Linked DNA regions of Styela clava. The protein of the gene in region 3 purifies or fractionates together with the protein of the main gene of each other region. This does not show direct contact. Links are inferred from orthologs where the notes say so. Each region holds a gene or a part of one and is shown on either strand. Other genes may lie near its edges.

Region 1 (6,481 bases), on a different chromosome or scaffold from region 3:
ACAATGGGAACCCATTTATCAAGAAGGAAAAGTTGCACTTCTATCATCAGGAAATAATTGTTTCATGTCGTATGACGAGGAAGGTGATATTGTTGCTTCCAGTAGGACAGCTGGTAAGGAAGAGATTTTGCAAATTCGTTCAAATGCAGAACGGATAGATAAAGTGGACGATACACCAGTAGAAGAAAAGGTTGACAGCTTGAAGGACTGTGAAGTTAATTATGTTAAAAAGTTTCAGAGCTTTCAAGATAGAAGGCTCAGAATTAATGAAGATGATAGTTCTAAATTGGACCAAGCTAAATCTTCAGGAAAACTTCATGAAGCACTACTTGACAGAAGATCTAAGATGAAGGCAGATCGCTACTGCAAAGTGTGAAATTTGGCAACATGCGGCATATGCTGTAAGTCGAATGAGGAAGAATGTGTATAGCTTGGAAAAAGGGGGGTCTGTTACGATCGAGGAAACAGTTTTCATTGCTGACGTGGCACAAAATATATATGAATTCTACTAAACATCACTTTGATAGCCATAGGTTGATGAAGACGTGCTTCAGATCATTCACAGAAGCACTATACAGTATATATAAACGACACATGACACAGTGTTACTGATATTTTATAGAGTCTAAAATGTATTGTTTTCAAATGTTGCGTTTTGTGAATAGAATGTTACGCAGTACATGCTGAGAAATTTTTGATGCTGGCATGAAGCATAACTAAGGCTTTATTGAAACAGCTTCATATTCATAGGCTTTGTGGTTATGACTATTGCAAGTTAACAATGACAGTGTGTTTTTCTACCTGATAAATATATGTGTGCGCCAACAATACACATGGCATTTTGATGAGAGTATGTTGGTCTTTCAGAGTGCTGTCGTTGGTTGTGATCCAGACTATTAGACACATTTACTGGCATTTCGTTGTTTTATTTCATTCAAAAAAGTTTTTTATAATTAAAAACGGAGAATAGCAATTGTGAATTTTTGACTATACTAGCCGGCATTTTTACTAGCCAACCTTAATCTTTATTTTCCATTGCTCTTTTCAATCAGTTGCTATCCACCTTCACTGATGCTTGGATGGATTTCATAACTTAAGACCAATTTTTAGAATGGTATCATGCCTTTCCATTTCACTTTTTTTTCGCCCTCTTTTTGGATTTGTGATCATGATGCTTTGAGTGTCTTTTTGCAGCACCTTTACTGTCCGACTTTTCCTGTTTTTCTTTATTTTTATCATCGAGATCAAACATCGCATTTCTTATAAAACGTTTTGCAGTTTCTTTTTCTAGCTTTGGAGCTTTTGCTCGGTCTTCTATTTCTTTCACTTTACCCATGTATATCTTTATCCTATCCAATTCTCCTTTAATTGGATGTGTTCTGGGATTGACTCCCTGAGTTATCAGATAAGTCCAAAACATTGAATTGATGGAGTATGCTGAAACAAGTTCTAGTTTTGCAACATCCAAGGGTGTAAGGTCTTGAAGTATCTAAAAATAAAGTGAAATGAAATAAACTATATTGTGCGACACTGATCTTGGCCATCATTAAAAGGTGCTATGAATGTTTGTGATGATGTGGTACAGTACTATGACAATGAAGACCCAAAACATATCCATAATCCAAAAACAATGGTCTCTCAATTCAGAAATTGAGTCAGTTTAATGAGTAACAAGATCGTCATGTAACATTCTGATATTAGAGTGGAAGCATAATTATATGCCCACTTTACCAAGAACTTCTAGTTTTGCAGGGGCCTCCTGTAAAACAAAACCGAAAATGAGTCAACATGCAAAATTGACACATACCAGCATACAATTAACTTGACCCTGTAATACAGTACAGCAGTATGGAGATACTGAGAAAGTATTTGCGTCATTTAAAAGTTAACTCTCGAACTATCTAATATTATGAGATTGGGCATTTAAACTCTTAGGATCTGACCATCCTATTACAGATAATGTATTACTGAATTACCGGTATCTTATAGTATTTAGCATTTATACAAACCTTATTACGCGGCGTGTCCAACAAAGGCTTGATAGCACTTTCCACTTTATCAAGGGAATCGCTGAAACTTTCAAAACATTCTTCCAATTCATGAGGAATATCCTCGCCCTCACTGGAAGACATCGTACTCACTGATTTGGTGTGAAACACCAGAAAAATACAATACAACGCATGAAGCCGGAGTTCTTGAAAATCGGCCACTAGAGGCATATCTTTTAATAACCTATCAAACCGTGAATACGGTATATACTACAACCAAAGCCGTTATATAATGGCTCTGCTATTACGATCAAACCCTGCGCCAGGGGTCACCAAACTTTTTTGACCGAGGGCCAGGTATGACTCAAACTTTGTTTAAAACGGGCCGGACAAATATTTTTGTCAATGCAATACAATAAATTCACAAACGTTGGGAAATCCACTCAATTCAGTCAACAATATAAATTATACAAGTTTTGAATATCATATTTTATATCGCAGAATATATATCAAGAACATCATAGCAACCCAAATACTGTATATAAGATTTTTAGACAACTATCCTGAGGTTAGCTGTTAGCAAAACAATTGCTGTCATGAATATCTGCATGTAAGCAGTACAAAAGGGTTAATGTGACTTGTGAAATTTGAGTTTAGCTTTCAAAATTTTTTCAATATATACTATTGAGCAGTACGTGAGAGATTACAGTACTATTAGCGAAAATGTTTATTTTAGCACGAGAAACGTACACAGCAACAGTTTTTGCAGAAAACGTTGCCGGTAGAGAATTTTAGCCTATTTTATCACAGCTATTTTCTAGACTAATTTTTGATTACTGCAATTAAAGTATATATTTACGATTAAACTACAACTCCTAGGGCTGAATAAAAAATGATGATTGACTTATTTAATTCATACTTAAATTTCCGAAACACAAACAAAAACACGAATAGCATTCAAAATCGCGAAAACGAGGTATATTGTTTACAATCACGAGGCACGACTGAAAATCTGTCTGAGTGACAAAAATGTATGGGCGATTGCTAAAAGGTCTATTGTTACGCCACGTTTTGCATCTTGCTAATTGGCCAATGTTACGAAACAAACAAAGAAGTCGATGCTCGGGGAACCATCCATCGGAAAAAAAATTAGTCATTCTATCGTGTTATTGCGGGCCATATGAAAGGACGCCAGGAGCCAGATTGTGCCCGCGGGCCGTAGTTTGGTGACCCCTGACCTGCGCTATCATGCAACGTTTTGTCCAACCCCATGTTATTCGATGTCATGTAATTTTAATCAGCGATATTTAATCCTAATTGTATATACAATGTTGTATCATTGCGTTTTTTGTTTTATTCGGAGACAAACCGGTTTCAAAAGAACAATTCTATTTTTATTTTGGAGTCGATGAGACGGCTTAATCATATGTCCAAGCCCCAGACCACCTCGTCCGGTTACCAGTCCATGTAAGATATGGGATCAGTAAGCCAGTTATTTGTTTTAGATTGATGGACTTTATGATGTAAGAATTCTTAACCGACGACCAGCGATTACGTAGTCGTAAACCATCCACATAATTATCCCCGCGGGATTCGAACCTGAGAACCGAAGCAGGGTAATCAAAGGTGCGATGACAAGGATATTCCTAACGCCTAGCACGATGCGCCACACCACAGAGCCACCGAGCAATGCCGCACAATAGGATGTTCTGATTTACTTTGATATGTTAACACGACATTTCATTTCCAAATTGGAGGACGATGGACCTAATCCGAAGCTAAAGAGCGATTACGTGAACAACACAACCACCGCAAGCAGTCGGACAAAACCCGTCGCACATAATCATTATTTTTAATGAGATTCTCCTAACAAGGAATGAACTAGGTTAACAGCACAATAAAATGCGAAATATTATGATAGGTAATCAATTTTGGATGAGACACATTGTTTTTTTACCCGTGAAATTACTGCATCTTAAAGCACTCAACACTAGCAACCCCACGTACTGTACGATGTTCTAACTCGTTTGTGCGAAATGGGTTAATTCTGTTTACACTTTTGAAGTTTTGTCCAGCCTGTTAGCTGTCAGCTTATACGGTACAGTTGATACAGTACTGCAATAAGTTGGTAGTCTATTTCTGTAGTGCGGCGAGTTACATTTCATACAATCTAATACGGCAGTATGTTGTTTGCAGATATGATAGTATAAATTGAGCCAGTCACATAATTCACGACATCGGCAGATTGGTAATTGCCACATTTGCATGGATTTTAATGCAATCAAATGAATGAATGATGATGGACGTGATGTAACATAAATATATTTCAGCCTATACAGATCATAATTCAGGAATCACTACCGAAATAGGAATGGATGAATTAGTGGACGATGAATTACATTTAGCAGTAAGAGTTGGGGATTTGGAGTCTACCATTTGTGCTCTTCAACAAGGTAACATTAATATAAGTTAACATTAATACTGTAGTATTAGAATATGTTGAATGAGGAATAAAGTACGGTACTACAGGTAAAGTAGACAGAACTAGGATAGTATGCATATCTGGGACCCAGAGAGACTTAAGTACTAAAGTATAAATTTATTTCGACTCCATAATCATATAATAAACGATAAAATAACTGATAAAAACAAAATTTTTATCTAATTTTCCAGAGTCAGGGAGTGGGAAATAGGTATCTGTTTATATTACTATGTCGTTTATAGTCTGATAATATATATATTGTTTTCTAGGCCTCAATCCCAATAATATTGGATTATTTGAATGGAGTTCCCAACATGAAGCAGCTCATAATGGAGATTTTGACATTTTAAAGGTGAACGTTTACCTCCTATATTATATGATGTTTCATTAAAGTGTAGTGAGTCATTCAATTTGGTACATGCTGTGTTAACAATTCAAATCTCTAATTAGTTTTGTCAAGATTTCATTTTTATGACACTGATTTATTCAAAAGCTGATTATCTTATTTAGGTTTTATTGCGGTATGGTGGGGATCCTAATTGTAAAGATTTGTTGAATGGATCTACTGCATTACACTATGCAGCATCAGAAGGTCACTCAAAATGTCTCGAATTACTCTTGTCAAATGGTATGAATAGAACTTAAGTTTAATTCCAAGTACCGAGGTATTACAAGCACCGAGCGATAACATTCGTACTGTATGCACCTTGTCATTGAAACATAATACTTACTTAAAAGTGCCGAATCACTGGTATAACTATCTATGCATTGAAATATTTAAATGTGTATTTAGCTGGCAGTCGTCTTGATATACAGGGTGTCCATATGAATTGTATGATAAATCTTCGAAATTGTAAAGATATTTATACACATCATGTGTATTAGATTTTTATGAAATGTACATTGTAATACTTTCAGGTGGAGATGCTAAAATCAAGAATGACAAAGGTCAGACAGCTCCTGATATAACTCGACATAAAGGGTGTAAAGAAGTATTTGCCAAATATGGAATAGGTTTGTTATATTCTGTTATTCCCTCAGATGTACTTGAATTCTGCTCTGGTCATTGCTTTTTAATTCGTATTTACTTTTTGTAATGGCAAAATTAGGTCAAATTAGGCAGCATCACCAATTCACCATTTGCAATGATGGAGAGCAAAACAGTGGACACAAAGTGAACTTATGGATCGTTTGCAAAATTATTGTTAATGTTGTGAAAACGCTCTGCTGCAATTAATATACTAATCGACTTCAAAATTTCAAACTTTAAGATGAAAAAAGTCGTTGGAAGGCTATTGCCTTTCTCAAATTTTCATTACGCCACTAAAATATTCTGGATTTTATAGTTCATGGGCACACCTTTATATAACATTCATACAATTCTTTTAACATTGATATAAACTTCGGTGGCTAAATATTCATTTCACCTTTAAGCACATATGAGCATTATTTTTTTTTCATAGATGTTACAACCTCAGTTCACTTTGAAGATCAAACCAAATCCACCGAACAACAACAATTCAATAAGCACCAGAACAAAAAACATTCTCAACCATCTCCATCTAGTTTTTCAAAATATACTTGTAAATCGACTCTATCAGATGATAGTTATGAATCGGGAATTGGAAGTAAAGCATCACTGACTGACTCTGTTAGTGTCTCAAGTGTCAATTCCAAATCGGTTGAATTTAAAGGTATTGTTGTTACACTATAAATATGATTGTGATTTTCAAGTTGGTCAAAGAGCTCAATTAAAAAAAAATTCTTTATTTCATGCTGCAGAAGACTCATCTCCAAAATATGTAGGCTATATCTTTTCATCTTATATAGAATATTATATATATATCCAGCGAAAAAGTTAATTCACCATTATATGTTATGAATGGCTCAATTTTACAGTGGAGAATTTGGTAAAAATTGGTATATTGGATGGTTCCATTACATTTGAACCCACGTACATTTGAACCCATGACAATTGCACCTGTATGCTATTGCACCTATGGAATTTTTT
Region 2 (7,761 bases), on a different chromosome or scaffold from region 3:
ACATCATCTTTGCCCTGTTTGAGCTTGATTTATTCATTTTTGATAGTTGTCTCTAAGTTACGCAATTCAATTGCCCAAAATACGGAAGATCATTGACTGCATGGCAATTAACTGCGCTTATTGGGTTTATATTTTCATGTTGCCTTGACCAGTGATTCCCAACATGCTATGGCTCGTGGCCCCTTGCCCGTCCCGACTTTAAACACTCATGGCCCCCTTGTTTATCATTCATATCATTGGTCTTTATAGTGTAATTTTGATTGGTAGATTCCAAATCCCATTATGTTGAAACATTTCATGCACAAAGTGAAAACACCCTGTGAAATAACTTTATCAAGCAGAGTTTTCTTGTAAAGTGAAAAGTAAAATCAGTTTTGCGCCTAGCATTGTCGACCTCTGTCCACTGGTATTTTATACTATATATTTCTGTATAGTATGTATTCCTCATAATTCACTCCTTTTACATATGTGATTCTGGGATGTTTTGACAGAAATGCTTTTTTTCATTTCCAGAGCTATAGCTTTAAAATAAATCAGGTCAAGTTCAAATGGATGACTTCCTAGCTTTTTGCAACAAGACGGCTGGTCGAGACAAATTATATAGGTAATTGATTGTTTTTTCTCAAGACTGTTTTTAGGTAAATGTGCAGAAATTGGGATTTCTTGTAATTGAATACAACATGTTTTATAGAGTCACGCAATATGGCAGCAAATTTCTTGTATGGTATCTACTGAGAAATGGCAATAAGGAAAATGCAGTCAACATGCTCATAGAGCTGGAAAAATTAATGAGCACGTCCAGAAAATGTGAGTTTATATTTTAATAATTCTGGCAACAGACACAGATCTCACATTACCAAAGCTCAATTTACTGAATAAAAAAAAAATATACATTTTTTTCAGTATTTAGATTTGGGAAAAGTGTGGACAGTCTCAGAGCAGCCCAGAGAGCAATAAATTTGCAAAACTATGTTCTGAGTCTCACACTAACTACCTCTCATACAAATAAAGCAGCCTACCTTCTCATTGACCACTATATATGGATGGGGAAAGTTGGCTTGGTACACGCAGATCTGAAGAAGTGGACAGAGAGCGCGAACAAGTTTTGGTTGGCATCTTTGATGATGGCTTTTGCAAGGGATCTCTATTCGTTGTATATCAATATGCAACTATTGGCTAGAGATGCAAGAAGGCGCGAAGAATCCATCTCGTTCCAGACCTACTTTTCCAATTTTGTGAAGCAGAATCAACAAGCAATAATCGACCTTTTGAAAAATGGATTCGATATAGTTATCCCCGCAAACAGTCTGGGATACACTAATTTCAATAACGGGGTCGTTGGGTTATGTGGCGTGTTGTCCTCTCTATTAGCTGCAGTACAAATAGCGAAACCCTCCATGAAATTAACGCCGAACTGACAAAGCACATGCTTGTTATTATCTATCTACCCCTACTAATTCTTACTTATACATACTATGCAATTATTTTCAATGAAGCGTTAATTTTGTATGATTGATCTGATATCAAAATAAAGCATTATAAAACGAATGCTAATATAATTTTAGGTAATATTTATGGGGAAACATTAGCATTGGGAATTTTCTGAAAAGGCAGATTGTTTTAGTCAAAGAAAACCAGTTTTGTCATTAAACTTCATAACTGGCATGTTTTTGAGAAACTTCAAAATAGATTTATGTAAATTCATTCCTACTCTCTTTCCCACATCTAGCATTTCGCTAATACTCTGTGGGTCCAGGCTACCAGAGCCGTCTTTACGCAGAGCTGTACAGCGGCCATCTTTCATAATTGATAAAATGACACTTGCCAAACAACATGCTTCCTCCTCGGCTGTGGCGTCGATAATATATCTCTGACCAGCTTTTGACAAAGTCACAAAAATTGGACAATTAGTCACATTCATGGGGATACTGTCCAATGGATCATCTGGCAAGTTAATTTCCACCTCCCCCTCATCACCTTCGGTCACTCCCAGTTTTGGGATAGATGTGTCAAACAAAGCAGCGAAGACTGCAATCGACACTGCATCAAGAAGATTGCCGCCACATTCTAATATGAGAACGTCAACATGCACTGACCAGCAATTTTTCCCAGGCACAATACATAAGCTTTTAAGGTCTAACACAAGATTATTGTTATAGGCTCTTGTTAGTAAACTTTTTATGGTTGCGGCAAGATCTTCACCGCCCCTACCTTGGAACTGTGGTGTGGCATTTGGGGAGCAGTCAATGTTAAAGTCCACCAATCCTTGGTCAGGAGAATTTGCCAGTGGCATTTCGAGATCAAGTTTCACGCCCACAAGAAGTTCTGTATTCCCAATTCTCAGTCTGCTAGATCCATTTGTGTTAGAAACAAGATTTACTTCCAAATCAATGTGTCTGTAATCTTCACAACCTCGTCCATCATTCCGCAAATCTTCTTGTATTCCATGAATTATAAAGCGCTTTTCTGCATCACCAAGTATTGCAATTGCCATTCTTGCAGACTAGAGTAGAATGCGCCAATTCGACCTATTACAGTAATAATTGAAACCTAAGTTCACATTACAGCATTAAGCGCACGCTCATTGTGTTACAGAACTGCAGATTAGTAGAAAAATAAGTAGATACCGTCAATCAATCAATTTTATTTTGGTCGCTTTGGTATAAAACAAAACAACAACAAACAAAACGCAGAGGACCTGGAAGACGTGAATGAAAACAAGACCTAACGTCTGAACGGTATAACTTCTGTATACTGGTATACCGGTAAGTGTATTACCAGACAATAGTCTAATCTAGGCCAAAAACCCTCTACAAATGGCACCGTACCTTCGCCGACAACTTAATTAATGAGACTCAGATACAGACGAGCAAAATGCGGTAGCAGCGATACAGTACCGTACTCTTCGTAGTCACACTCCCAACCTTAGATTGCAAATAAAAAAATAATTCAAATACAAGAAATCCGCGTGCGTGACCTTTGATCTCGTAAAATTTCATGTCCATGTGCTCATTGTGCTGTGCCCAGAGCCATTATATAACGGCTCTGCTGTGCCCATGGATGTTTCCTTGTTTATTTCCGTAACCTTGTCCAATCAATATTATGTCTACGATGACATTTGCGTGTTCTTTGTCAGTTTTCAGTTGTGTCTCCAAAAATTAGTCGTAATTCAAATAATTTGGTTCCATTACATTTGAACCCACGTACATTTGAACCCATGACAATTGCACCTGTATGCTATTGCACCTATGGAATTTTTTTTGTTTCACGGATAGTTAAACCCATACTAACCCTAACCCATGGGTTTTAGCACCCGAATATAGATTGAACCCGTGGATATACGCATGGGTTCAAATGTACATGGGTTCAAATGTACGGTCACCAAATAATTTAATTGTTATTATGTCTTCCTTCAGTTTAGTTGCAATAATTAGCCCCGAATAATTTGCGATAGACTACTAGACACGCCTCCGGTTTTCATCATTTGGCGTAAATAAGCTGAATTCAAAAAAAATAAAAGCTTTAAGACGGCTCAACCATATGGCGAAGCACCGCCTCTCGTCCGGATACGAGTACATGTCAGGTATGGAATAATGGTGGCCAGTTATTTGTTTCAGACGCATTAAGCATATGTACAGGTTTAATTCTATTTTCATCTCTTGTACATAACAAAGATTTGGAAACATCATTTAAAACTGACAAACAAAACCTGAGATTACAAAAACGAGACGACTGAAGATATCCATTTGGTCCAGTGAAAAAATTAAGCGATTCAGCTAAAAATTATCTTATAAATTAATCAAAAGCGGACAAACTTATACTGTATATTGAATCACTGCTAACCATCATCTGTAACAATTCCCGATTCAGCAATATCGTGATAAATGAGTCTTAGACATTTATCTAGATTTTATTGGGTTGTGAGATGGATAGAATTTACATATTTATCCCGGGGGAGAGGAAAGTGATAAGACGGGTTATCCATATGGCGAACCAAGGCCTCTCGTCCGGTTATTGTTCCAAGTCGGGTATGGGATTAATAAGTTATTTGTTTTCGAAAGCATGGACTTGATCATTGTCCCGCAACCACCCCCCCCCCTCCCATACAGCGTAAATGAAGCATTTCCTACACTTAGCAACCTGTGCCCAAAACCAACCTCATATAATCACGACCAATGATAATAATTTAATCTTTTACAACAGACAAGAGGTTTTAACAAAAGAAATAGGAAAATATATCACTAAAATTTTCTTATAAAAATGTGACAATTAGTAAGCGGACATAATACTACATAGTACTTTTTCCACTTTAAAAAAGTGCACAAAATATTGTAAAGTTGTGTACAAATTTTTAAACAGCACTAAATTAAATTTCACAGTACAAGTGGCTTGACTAAGCAAGAATAAATTAAGACTTGCTTAGTTACAGTGAATAAAGTGTGACCATATGTCATGAAATACTTGACTGAATTATAATAATTTCTAATTCAGTAATAATTGTTCCTCTGGAATACCGCAAAATCACTACACAGATTCATATTTCGTTTGCCAGTCTTTGTACTTGTGGCTCAGTTTAGCAGTTGATGGCTTAGTGTGAATAAGAACATCTAAAACACATGCTGTTGATATAGTGTCCAGGGTGAAATCTGGAAGTTGCTGTAGAAAAGTAGATAAATTATGGATACAATATAAACAAAAGCAATACAGCTTATCAAGGGTCTGAGATTATGTGGCCTCCTGAGCGTAATACTGTTTTATTGGTGTTTCAGACTTATTAACAATGCATGATTCCATGACATCTGTGGACTCGAGGAATAAACTCAAACAAGAAAGTTGGGATCATACATTGTTGTAGACAAAAACATGAGCAGTTTGGGTGTGACAGATATGAACAAATCATTATGGTTTGATATGGCTCTCATTTGCTGAGAAGCTCCCTGCCTTGATATGCGTTTAAATTGATCCTTTTTTTATAAATAATCACGGATCGATTTATACATAGTGTGAAAATATAAGAGTATACTGATTGATTATAGACAGTGTTCAATACTCCGATGAACTCAATAAAACATTGTGGTTTATTTATTGTGTGTACTGCCTTTAGTTCTTTTTAGACAAGCACCAAGTTTCCATTACAACACTACTTTATTGTAAGAAACGAGCTTTTTAAACCAAAGACACCATAGCAGTAACAAACTAAGCAGCAAGTCAAATTTATACACGTGCAATTATATCATATATATAACACAATAATGATGGTGTGGTAACTTGATCTTAAATGTTTCATTCATTTATTTATATTTTATAGATATGTGTATAGTGTGTTTTAAGTTTGACGAAGCATATAAACTGTCTCTCTCCGAATCGACAACTAAAATAGACCTTTGGTAAACATTGATAAGATAATTATAGTCAATATAATATAGTAACACAACAAATCCTAAACTTAGATACTTCCAACATATGGAAAAATTATCTGGAATTGTTTTATTCTGTTGTCTAATTCTTTTAGTATGTGCAATATAATGTGGACCTCCTGAAATATGCGCACCAAGATGGCGCACAACCTGAACTCAGGTTGTGTACCAGGTTAGGGTTCAGGTTATGCGACATCTTGGTGCGCATACTTCAGGAGTACCTATAATTTTCTATACTTACTTCTCCTTCAACATGATTCTCCAAGGTATTGAATATTTTTCTGACAACTTGCATTGCTGCTTCTTTACAAACTAATTTAAGATCTGATCCAGAATATCCCTCAGTTTTCTAAAAAAAAGAATATTGTGAATTGATTGCCTGGTGATGTTGAGAGAAAAGAACTAAGAAGTACTAATGGAAGTTTCTCTTTATAACAAACAATTCCTTTATTCCTTGAAACAAAAGAGCAATGCTGAAATATATGAGCGCAGAGTTCGCACATAGGTACTGGGCGCTCCATAAGTATGTGTACCAATATGGGGATAACTAGTTTTGTTTGCCTACTTTACATCAAGTTGTGTGGAGGGACTGAAACTTATGGACAGGGAGTATATTCACTTGGCTAACTCAGACAGTCCCCGAACTTGTAATAGAACTAGAATGAGGAAAATCAGAATAAAATTAGGGCCTGACCCTAACCTGGTACACATACTATGGGAGTATCGATACTGGTACAGAAAAGTCTCAGAACACACAGTTTTATGAAAAGATCATCGGAAAAGTGTGGTGGAAGTTGTCAAGAGTGACAATATAGAGAAGTCTTCACTTACAATTAAAATAAAACAGTATAATTATAGGTGACATAAGGGTTTCCATAGGAGTCAGCTTTTTGAAATCGATCGGCCTAATAGTTGTGAAGAAAAAGAATATTTCCAAGCAACAACAACAAGAAAAAACACCAAGCAACAACAACGATTTTTAGCACAATAATCGATAAGTGCATTTTGTGTCTAATAATGCACAATCAGATATCAATCATCAAATAATGGAAGAAAAACAGTATAGCTAGCATTTTAATACAGACATTCATATTCCATTCAAAACAGGCATTCGACATTCTACCATGAAACCAAGTAATTCTAGCTTTCAATAAAAATCAACAACAATAAAATAATTTGAAAATGTACAAATTTATACATAAATATCTGAATAAGAAGTACCAGTTGGTATTTACACCAGTTTGATTGAATTGATTGGAAGGCAAATTAACTGGTTAGTTAAACCAAAATATAAATTATAATCACCTCAGCTAGAGCTCCGTAATCAAGGTTTGTGTTGATGATCAAACTTCCTTCACTATTTTTCGGAGGTAGAAACCTGAAAAGAACATTGAAATTGGTTGGATTAGTGATTCTTGATCTGTGGCTTACTAAAAAACTCTCAACACTTGGTGCCGCTGGTTCTTCAACAAAAATACCTAGTTTTGGTTTAAATTAGTTTTCATCCAATATTTCAAGCGCCATGTATAATAATAAATAGCAAAAAAAACCTGAGTAAAAGCAGAAATGTCTCCTAGTTGAAGAAATAGACAAATCAAATTTCCTTGAATTAATGTAGTCATATAGAGAAACCCTGGATTGGATTGTACTAGTTTGACTTGCTTGGTCTAAATTTAAACTCCCTTTTCAATCACTCACCTATAAAACATAGATTTTCTTGCTTCATGATTTGGAAGATCAACAAGTATTCTTTTCTCCAGACGACGAAGCATTGCATGATCTAATTCCCTGTGCAAGAAATAAATTATAGGTTTTTTATGAACTTCACCAGACAGGAATTTTTCATGGCTCCGAGTTAATGATGACAGAAGAAAGATATACCCAATAACTTACCACGCACCAACGATTGATGCCTAATAAAGTTACAAATAATAATGGGTACTTCCGTAGTGTGTGTACCAGGTTAGGGTTAGGCCATAATTTTATTCAAATTAACCCTATTTATATATATAGTGTAGTGTGTTTTAAGTTTGACGAAGCATATAAGCTGTCACATAATCAAAATGATGTCCTTACTTGATTGAAATGGGTAACAAAAAGAATTATGATTTCCAGAGACAGCAATCAGCAGATGCATGCAAAATTACAAATACCTTTTTGCACTCAAAAAAATATGAAATTAGTATTTTGATCAGTTTTTATATAATATCTGAAAGTTACTAAATTCATATACCAATGCACTCGAGTCGAATGCCATATAAAATTTGACAGTCACCATTGGTGAACTTTATAATTGAAGTCTAATATTTTTAATGATATTATTAGCAAGATGCAAGTATCTGTC
Region 3 (7,796 bases):
CAAAGTGCATTTTATTGATCTTCGGACATTTATTGAATTGAAAAAGCACGATTCTTTTGACCTTCTTTTCAACAATTCATACAACTGAAACAATTGTTATTGCCATGTCCATTGTATTAAATTTCATCAAACAACTATCATATAGATATCTGTTTCCTTTAAATATTGGAAAAGAATAATTCTGTTCCACAGAACTCCTGGATCATAGCGAGAGATTTTATTCTTTTATGAATCTCGTTGTGGATGATGGAACAGAGCAAAGAAAAGACGGGACCACTGCACCTGTTGGAATGGTGGTCGTTCGTGGAAATTCGATATTAATGTTGAAGCATTGGAACGGATTTTAAATTGAACTAATCGAAAATGACAGAAGAACCCGATACTTCAATCCATGATTGTGGTGATGTGGGTACCTTTGCAAGAGCAAACTTGAGTAGATATGTACGAACAGACCATTCGCTAGTCGTCAATCCCTCATTTATAAGTAACCCAAGCCAGTGCATGACGTGATTGACACAACTTCATTGGATGGCTCTTGAACGAGTTCAACTATTTCCTCATGTCAGAGACCTGAGAGGAAATTGTTTTTATTTGCCCTTTATGACATTGAAAACCTGTGTCGAAATTTTTTGATACTCCTGAGGTATGCGCACCAAGATGTCGCACAACCTGAACCATAACCTGGTACACAACCCTAGTTCAGGTTGTGCGCCATCTTGGTGCGCATACTTCAGGAGGTCCCATTTTTTTCTATTACTGCAATCACTACTATATCAAATTGAGTTCCAGTACTGCCTTATTATTTTCAGTCCTTCAAAACACTAAATGGTGATGCTGTTCGATTGGCATTCGATTAGAAATTGTTTTTACTCAAATATTTCATACCAATCCATGATAATAATGAAGGCCTGTATCTCCTATGATTGTTCTAGTATAAATCGACAATAACTTGTATTTCATCAATCATTATCTGCAAATATGAAAAGTAAAATAATATGAAAAATGTTTGACACACGTTTTATATCATACAATATTTTGAAATATTATCATTGTTATATTAGCACTAGTGTGCATGATTAGGGAATTCATTCAAATAAAAAATTATGCAACCTTTGAATAGTGAATAATAAACATATCTAATACGTTAGCACATTTAACAAAACAAAGAATCATTTGAATCAATCGAAAGATTTATTTGTTAAAATCTTTTTTCAAAATTGCACAACTTTCAATTCTATTCAGAACTTTTACTTTCATTCAATTAATGATTTAATCACACAAACAAAATAGCAAATAGTTTTTTACCTCAGCAAATTTACCTGGTCTTAAAACCTAACAGTCAAGTTTGAATGTAAACTCAGTAGGCTTATAGGTAATTGCTATTTTTTTAGGTTATCCAGTTAATAACCTAACACTGACAAAGTATCGTAATATTTCTCGAAAAAATCACATACCTTCTGGATATTTTCCACCATTTCTTTTTCTTTCTTTCCTTTCCTCCGTATTGCCATGTGTGAGTTGGAAGAAAACGAACAATTCTTACATGAGCATTTGATTTCAGCTGAACAGTAAAAATACTATTTGAAATACTACTAAATACTATCATATTTGAAAATTATAATTTTCCACACTGCCACAATATGATAGAATCAGCATTTTTAGCGATTAATAAAGTGTGTATTATCTATTGGTAACGTGGAATATTTTTTCTGCAAGAACAAAATAAAAGAATTGACAGATTTGCTGATGTCATGACATCAAAGTTCGTCCTTGTACTGTACCTGGAATTAGATACAGAATTTCATATTTTTATGACTTTTTAAATATTGTCCTGGTAAACTCTGCCATCCGAATTGTTGCATAAGCATTCAACAACTAGATCTTTTCAATAACAATTAAACATTCAACAACTTTATCATACATTATATTAATTATATATCTATAAGAAAAAATTAACTTACCCAATTTTTTATATTGATCTCTTCTACTGATTGTGACACCTCAATCGCAATTTCCGTGAAAATAGTTTGCCCTGCGAGGGGCCGTTTAAATATAAATCAAAGAAACCATAGAATTCCATTTCAGAATACGATATTACCAATGTGCTAAAATATTCAATTTGTTAATTAGGCAATACAGTAACAGAAAAATGTTACTATTGTTTTATTAATGTAGAATTTTCCGATGAAGTTATATTCATTAGGATATAATCTTATAACAATGAAGTAAAAATCATGATATTTTAATGAACAAACAATTTCAAGCATACCATCAATGCTAATTTATTGTAGTCTACAGAATTGATGGTGTGAAAAATATAACTAATTGTATTCATAACTTTATACTTATGAAACAGATATGGTATGACCGCAATAGTTAAAGACTGTTTTTTGTGATAAGTTACAGCGGTTTAATTAGCAGTTGGTATCTTCAAAAAACTTTTGTGTTAATCCTAATTGCTATATGTCTCATTATCCATCGAATCACATTCAGCATAAAGGGATAGTTACACTTCATTGCATACAAGGTGGAAGTACTGTATATTATATTGCAATGAATATCATATTTTGCAATGACACAATGTCATTCATTTCTGGATCTAAACTACATGACAAGGACAAGGGGCCGCATAAGTATCAATTTAGTCATCTGCAGGTTTAATAAAAAATGATGACGAATCTTGTTTTCTTTGCTTTGCATCAAAAGTTCCTTTTTCTGTGTCAATCAATTTTCTTTTGCCTTTCGAACGTTTCGGTACTTTTTTCTTATTAAGATATTTTTTTGCAACTGTTCCAACTAGAGTAGTAAATCTGTCGGCCATTTCTTCATCTGATATTGAACCAATACTATCTTCATCAGATTTTCTTTCTTCATCTTCAACTGCTTCATTATTCCAATATTTTGTCATTTTTTCTGTTAGTTTATTAAAACCTTGGAATGACATTCGTCCATATCTGAGATCACATAGTTCTGTTATATCTACTGTGTCATATTTACTGCATTTCTCAGATAATGTTGGCAACTCAATTTCCCATTGTTCATCATTTATTATTTTTCCACTTGTCTCTTGCAGTGATTTATTTGTTTCCTCAGATTGACCCCTTTGCATAAATTTCATTCTCCGAACATGGATAGAAAGATCCATAACGAATTCTGAATGTCGGTCACAGGTGCTCAGAAAACCAGATATGAAATATGGAGTTAAGTTTTGCAGTTTGAGTGTGAATATTTCTATTCAACCAGTATTCGAATGCCAAATTAACTAGAATTGGATATAATAAAAAAAGATGTATCAATACAGCATTAAGCAACTATGAAACTACAATGTTAAGACTATGTAGTATGTAAAAAAATTATTTTGTTCTCTATGCCTGTTGTTGTTGTCTACTTCAGGGCTTCCCAAACTAGGGGCCGCGGCCCTGGGAGGGGCCGCAAAACGAATTCTAGGGGGTGCGAAGAGAACACCAATTTTACACAAAGTACTATATCTATTGCACTTTTTCAGACTCTTAATTTAAAATACAATCATTAAAAATAGTGTAAAACGATAATTTCACGATTCCGAGTGAATATACATCATCACACCGTGTTTTCCCGAAAATAAGACATTGTCATCAATTTTCTTTTGAACACTGGAGCTCATTTTAGGAGAGTGTAGAGAATACAAGATTAATATACGAAATATGAATACCCAAATATGATACCAATTTAATAGCACGTTTCCATTTAAAATAGCGGCTACATATAGGTTATTAACAATTTAAAAAGTAGATTTCTTTCAACTATAGGACTCAGTAGTTTTCGAACTTAATTGTATTGTGACGACCTCCAGAAATATGCTCAAGTTTTGCAATGAGTTTTATATAAATATAAACGAACAAACAAAATCTAACAACAGTCAGTGAAATCAAATTTAATGGGCCATGGTAGAAAAACCTGCTTAATATAAATACGAAATCGCAAAGGAGATGTGGTGCGCAACGCTTTTTGAACATAGTAGAAATAAATAATCTTTATCTACAGAAAACCGAATTATCAGAATTAAACGGTAGAATCATCGCGCTTGCATTACAATGTATATTCTGATCCTAAGACCCGATTTGCGTGCTTGCATAACAATGCCGGCTTTAATCGCCATGCTAGCGGTTCCGGAAGGCGATTTGCTCAGTGCGCCTCGAAACATATCACATATTTTATTTATTTTAAATGTTTTATTGTTTCTCATTAGAGCAAATGATGTGTATAATTCATTTTATCGTTCTAAATTATTTACTTTCTGTTACGTAACAGGTAAACCCTAATGCTGCAATTTCGTTGGCCGCAATTTATTCATTTGCTGAACCGAGTTTATGGAACATGAGTGAGTTTCGAGCATTTTAAAGAAAAACTAGGCAGAATTAAGAAAGAAAGATTCGCATCCATTACATTGAATAATCTGAGTAAAGATGTTTTTGTTATTGAGTAGCCCTATTAAAAGTTAAGAATTAGCTGTGTCAATGAATTATCAAAAATGCATATTTAGAACTTTTTAGCATTATTAGCGAGAACAAGGGCCGCGAAAAACTTTAATATATCAAAAAGGGCCACGAGCTCAAAAGTTTGGGAAGCCTTGGTCTACTCTATGTTTTGGTGTCCAATATCTGAATATGTTGAAATAGTGTAACTTGCATAACATTTTCAACTGTAGCATCATCGATACCTACAAAATATAATGGATAGTAGCATGATTGTTTACTTTCTCACATGACACAGATAATAAGACTGAACAAAATTTGATTTTGTTACATAACATTCAGACATTAGTTTTGATATACCGTAATACAAATCAAATTTGCTGTTTTAAGACACCACTGATTGAATTTTGCTGTTTGTTTCATCCTACATGGTTGATTGGAGAAGTTGTATGTACGATACAACTGTACAAGTGTTGTGTTTTCAAAATAACGAAATAAATTGCATATATTTTTTTCCTATTTTTTTAAAGAAAAACAATTTCACATATTAGTCACATAACAATCAAAGGCTATCTGACAGTAATCTATCTAACGTGTAGGCTATGTACTTGCTAGCAAACATCTTGCGAGTATAACAGTAGAGTGGAAGTGGTGACTCCTCTTCGGCCCATGGGCCGGGGCCACGGCCCATCAAATTGGGCCTAGGCCCATCAGGCTATGGGCCACGGCCCATCAAGTTGTGTAAAGGAACTATTCACTTGGCTAACACAGACAGTCCCCAAACTCATAATAGAACTATAATGTAAAAAATCTGAACAAAATTTTGCCCTAACCCTAAGTCCCTAACCTGGTACACATACTACAGGAGTTTATTTTTTGGTTCGAATAATGACAATTTTGTAGAAATTGAAAATTTTGGTAAGATAATTGAATTTTTTCTGACGGGGCCGCGGCCCATAGCTTGATGGGCCACGGCCCATGTGGCCCAATTAGATGGGCCGTGGCCCCGGCCCATGGGCCGTAGTGGAGTCACCACCCCTGTAGTAACAGTAGACGAACTGACAAATGAACGCGAAGAAACAAGCACACAATAAAGTAAAAATGAATCATCGTTTCTTATTGTGGCATACACTGATACAGTTCAAATGTGCTATCATATTGTCTTTCCACTCGAATTCCTAAAATACTTTGATTCTTTGTAAATCTATCATACTTAACAAAGTTAACAACGTTTCTGTAACACCATACTGCCATACGCAATACCTGCATTTGTATGCACAGATGCATTCCCTGGTCTTGTCGGACAGTAAACGCACGTGTTTTTTGTTTTTTTTTTCGTTGTTGTTGTCTACTGATGGGTTAGCGCAGGGGTACACAACTCAAATGAGAACACGTGTCAAATTTTTCAAAATAATCTTGTCGCGTGCCATGCACAATCGTTGGTATGGACATTCCACGACCTCTGACCTCCGTAAAATTCTTCCCATACTTTACCATTTCAAAATTTTCGTTGCTTATCTTAAGAGTGGTTGGCGCCTGTAAATTGGGACACTTATTTCAAGCCATCATTCTGATTCATTGCATTCAACAATCTGTTTTTTTAAATATCGATAAAATTTTTTAGCCTATTCTATCACAGCTATATATATATACACTAACTTTTGATTACTGCAATTAAACTGAAACTCCTAAGAAGACAAAGTTATCATTGAATTATTTTATATATATTTACATATCTGAAATACAACTGAAAACTAACGAATAGAATTCAAAAACGAAGTAATGTTTACGAACAGGCCTTAAAATCTGTCTGAGCGTCACTTTTTGCACCTTGCTGATTGGCCAATGTCACGAAATAAACAAGTCGATGTCGGGGAAACAACCTCTGTACATGAACTCCCGTAAAACACACATCAAACAAATTTCAATAATAATACATAATACGAATATCTGTTTATTGAAACAATTTAATAACCTGAAAAACTGCTGATTTTGATATAAATGTGATTTTTTACGAAACCGTTCGCGTGCCACGTTTGAGCGTATGGCGTGCCAAATTTGGCACGCGTGCCTCGTGTTGTGCACCCCTGGGTTAGCGGGTTTGTTGTCCTTTATACTCAACCCTTAACGACCCCCCCGAATTTGATTTCAATGAAATCCCTCGGACTCAAAAGAGTACCTAATAATAATTATTATAACGTGAAGCAATTACATTGCTGTTACCATTTTAGTTGATCAATGCTTCCGCTCGTTTTGTGACAATAGACATTTGTTAGTGTACAATTAACAAGTAGGCTATTCACATAAAAGAATTACCTGGTGATTAGGGGTTTACTCGACGATCTGAAGACGACATCAGATGCACTTTGTCTAAAATCTAAATGAACCTTAATTTCGAAAGAAGATAGGGCGTGGAGCCTGAATTTGGGGTGTTTCAATTGTAATTGGGGTCATATTTTCAACCTCTTTGGAGACGGAATCTATATTCTCTGGATAATTTTACACTTTCAATGGGGATAATAGTTTTCAACAAAAACCTAAAATAAGTTCACTAATCGTTCTTAATAGCATATTATAAAAGCTTGTATAAACCAAAGTTTGTGTAATAAAATGTTATTTTTGAAGATGAATTCGATGTAGATATTTTTTTCAACCTGGGGTATGAGACATGAGTTTTTTTTTTAAATCTGGCACAAGTTGTATTTTGGTAAGGGGAATTCCCTGAGTTCCCAAGATTTTGTAAATGAGTTGGAGTTGTGCGCACATTTCTTGCATTCGTTTCAGTTGCGAGGGAGTTTTGCTTAAAGCAAACGTAATGAAGCGTGCACTCAGCTTATTACCGCATCTACCTCGAATGAGATTATATTGTAGTGGTTTTCGGTCGTTCTCAAGCAATCTTGCAACTTCAATCTGCAAACAAATCAAGTACTCTGGACCGATTTCTGTTGCACAATACATGAAAGAAGTTTTAACAACCCCTCATGCAGTAAGCACTTTGATCTGGTTGGAACTCAAAGTTTGGTGTATGTTTTGTTTTGAGGCATCTGATTTTGTTCATCTGAAGTAATTTTAATATCAAGCTTTCACTATATCTTTTTATCCATCCATATTGTTTATGATGGACTGCATAATTACTGAAGATAATATGGGAATGCTATTTCCATGATATCGTAGATCTTATCCTATCTTCGTTTACACCAGGGATATTATGTTCATAAAGATATGCTGGGGAGACAAGGAGATTTTATTACTTCGCCAGAATTAAATCAAATGTTTGGAGAAGTAAGCATATTAAAATTAGATAAATGATACACTTTTTATTTTGCAAATGATGACTTTTTC

What was found.
Region 1: the proteins of M-phase phosphoprotein 6-like (region 3) and nuclear nucleic acid-binding protein C1D-like purify together in Homo sapiens (co-immunoprecipitation; 3 studies listed by BioGRID and IntAct, counting the BioPlex papers as one, with this or other methods). This does not show direct contact. The link is inferred for Styela clava from reciprocal best matches to the Homo sapiens genes MPHOSPH6 and C1D.
Region 2: the proteins of M-phase phosphoprotein 6-like (region 3) and exosome complex component RRP42-like purify together in Homo sapiens (affinity purification with mass spectrometry; 4 studies listed by BioGRID and IntAct, counting the BioPlex papers as one, with this or other methods). This does not show direct contact. The link is inferred for Styela clava from reciprocal best matches to the Homo sapiens genes MPHOSPH6 and EXOSC7.

Annotation. Positions count from the first base shown.
Region 1 is NC_135252.1:10,622,907-10,629,387, reverse strand, and holds nuclear nucleic acid-binding protein C1D-like, read right to left. Parts: upstream 2,184-6,481; 5' UTR 2,133-2,183; coding exon 2,010-2,132; intron 1,490-2,009; coding exon 1,133-1,489; 3' UTR 906-1,132; downstream 1-905. Other genes in the region: protein FRG1-like, read left to right, coding at 1-376; uncharacterized protein LOC120342968, read left to right, coding at 4,360-4,441, 4,740-4,822, 4,981-5,098, 5,389-5,484, 5,934-6,164. UniProt on the Homo sapiens protein: Plays a role in the recruitment of the RNA exosome complex to pre-rRNA to mediate the 3'-5' end processing of the 5.8S rRNA; this function may include MPHOSPH6.
Region 2 is NC_135257.1:17,234,830-17,242,590, reverse strand, and holds exosome complex component RRP42-like, read right to left. Parts: upstream 2,719-7,761; 5' UTR 2,495-2,718; coding exon 1,625-2,494; 3' UTR 1,419-1,624; coding exon of another isoform or gene 904-1,418; 3' UTR 808-903; downstream 1-807. Other genes in the region: peroxisomal membrane protein 11A-like, read left to right, coding at 549-604, 692-807, 904-1,418; katanin p60 ATPase-containing subunit A-like 2, read right to left, coding at 4,525-4,656, 5,659-5,766, 6,723-6,795, 7,116-7,205. UniProt on the Homo sapiens protein: Non-catalytic component of the RNA exosome complex which has 3'->5' exoribonuclease activity and participates in a multitude of cellular RNA processing and degradation events.
Region 3 is NC_135253.1:11,374,849-11,382,644, reverse strand, and holds the start of M-phase phosphoprotein 6-like, read right to left. Parts: upstream 3,283-7,796; 5' UTR 3,146-3,282; coding exon 2,642-3,145; 3' UTR 1,962-2,641; intron 1,562-1,961; 3' UTR 1,455-1,561; intron 971-1,454; 3' UTR 886-970; intron 571-885; 3' UTR 1-570. Other genes in the region: protein arginine methyltransferase NDUFAF7, mitochondrial-like, read left to right, coding at 7,198-7,440, 7,656-7,736. UniProt on the Homo sapiens protein: RNA-binding protein that associates with the RNA exosome complex. Involved in the 3'-processing of the 7S pre-RNA to the mature 5.8S rRNA and play a role in recruiting the RNA exosome complex to pre-rRNA; this function may include C1D.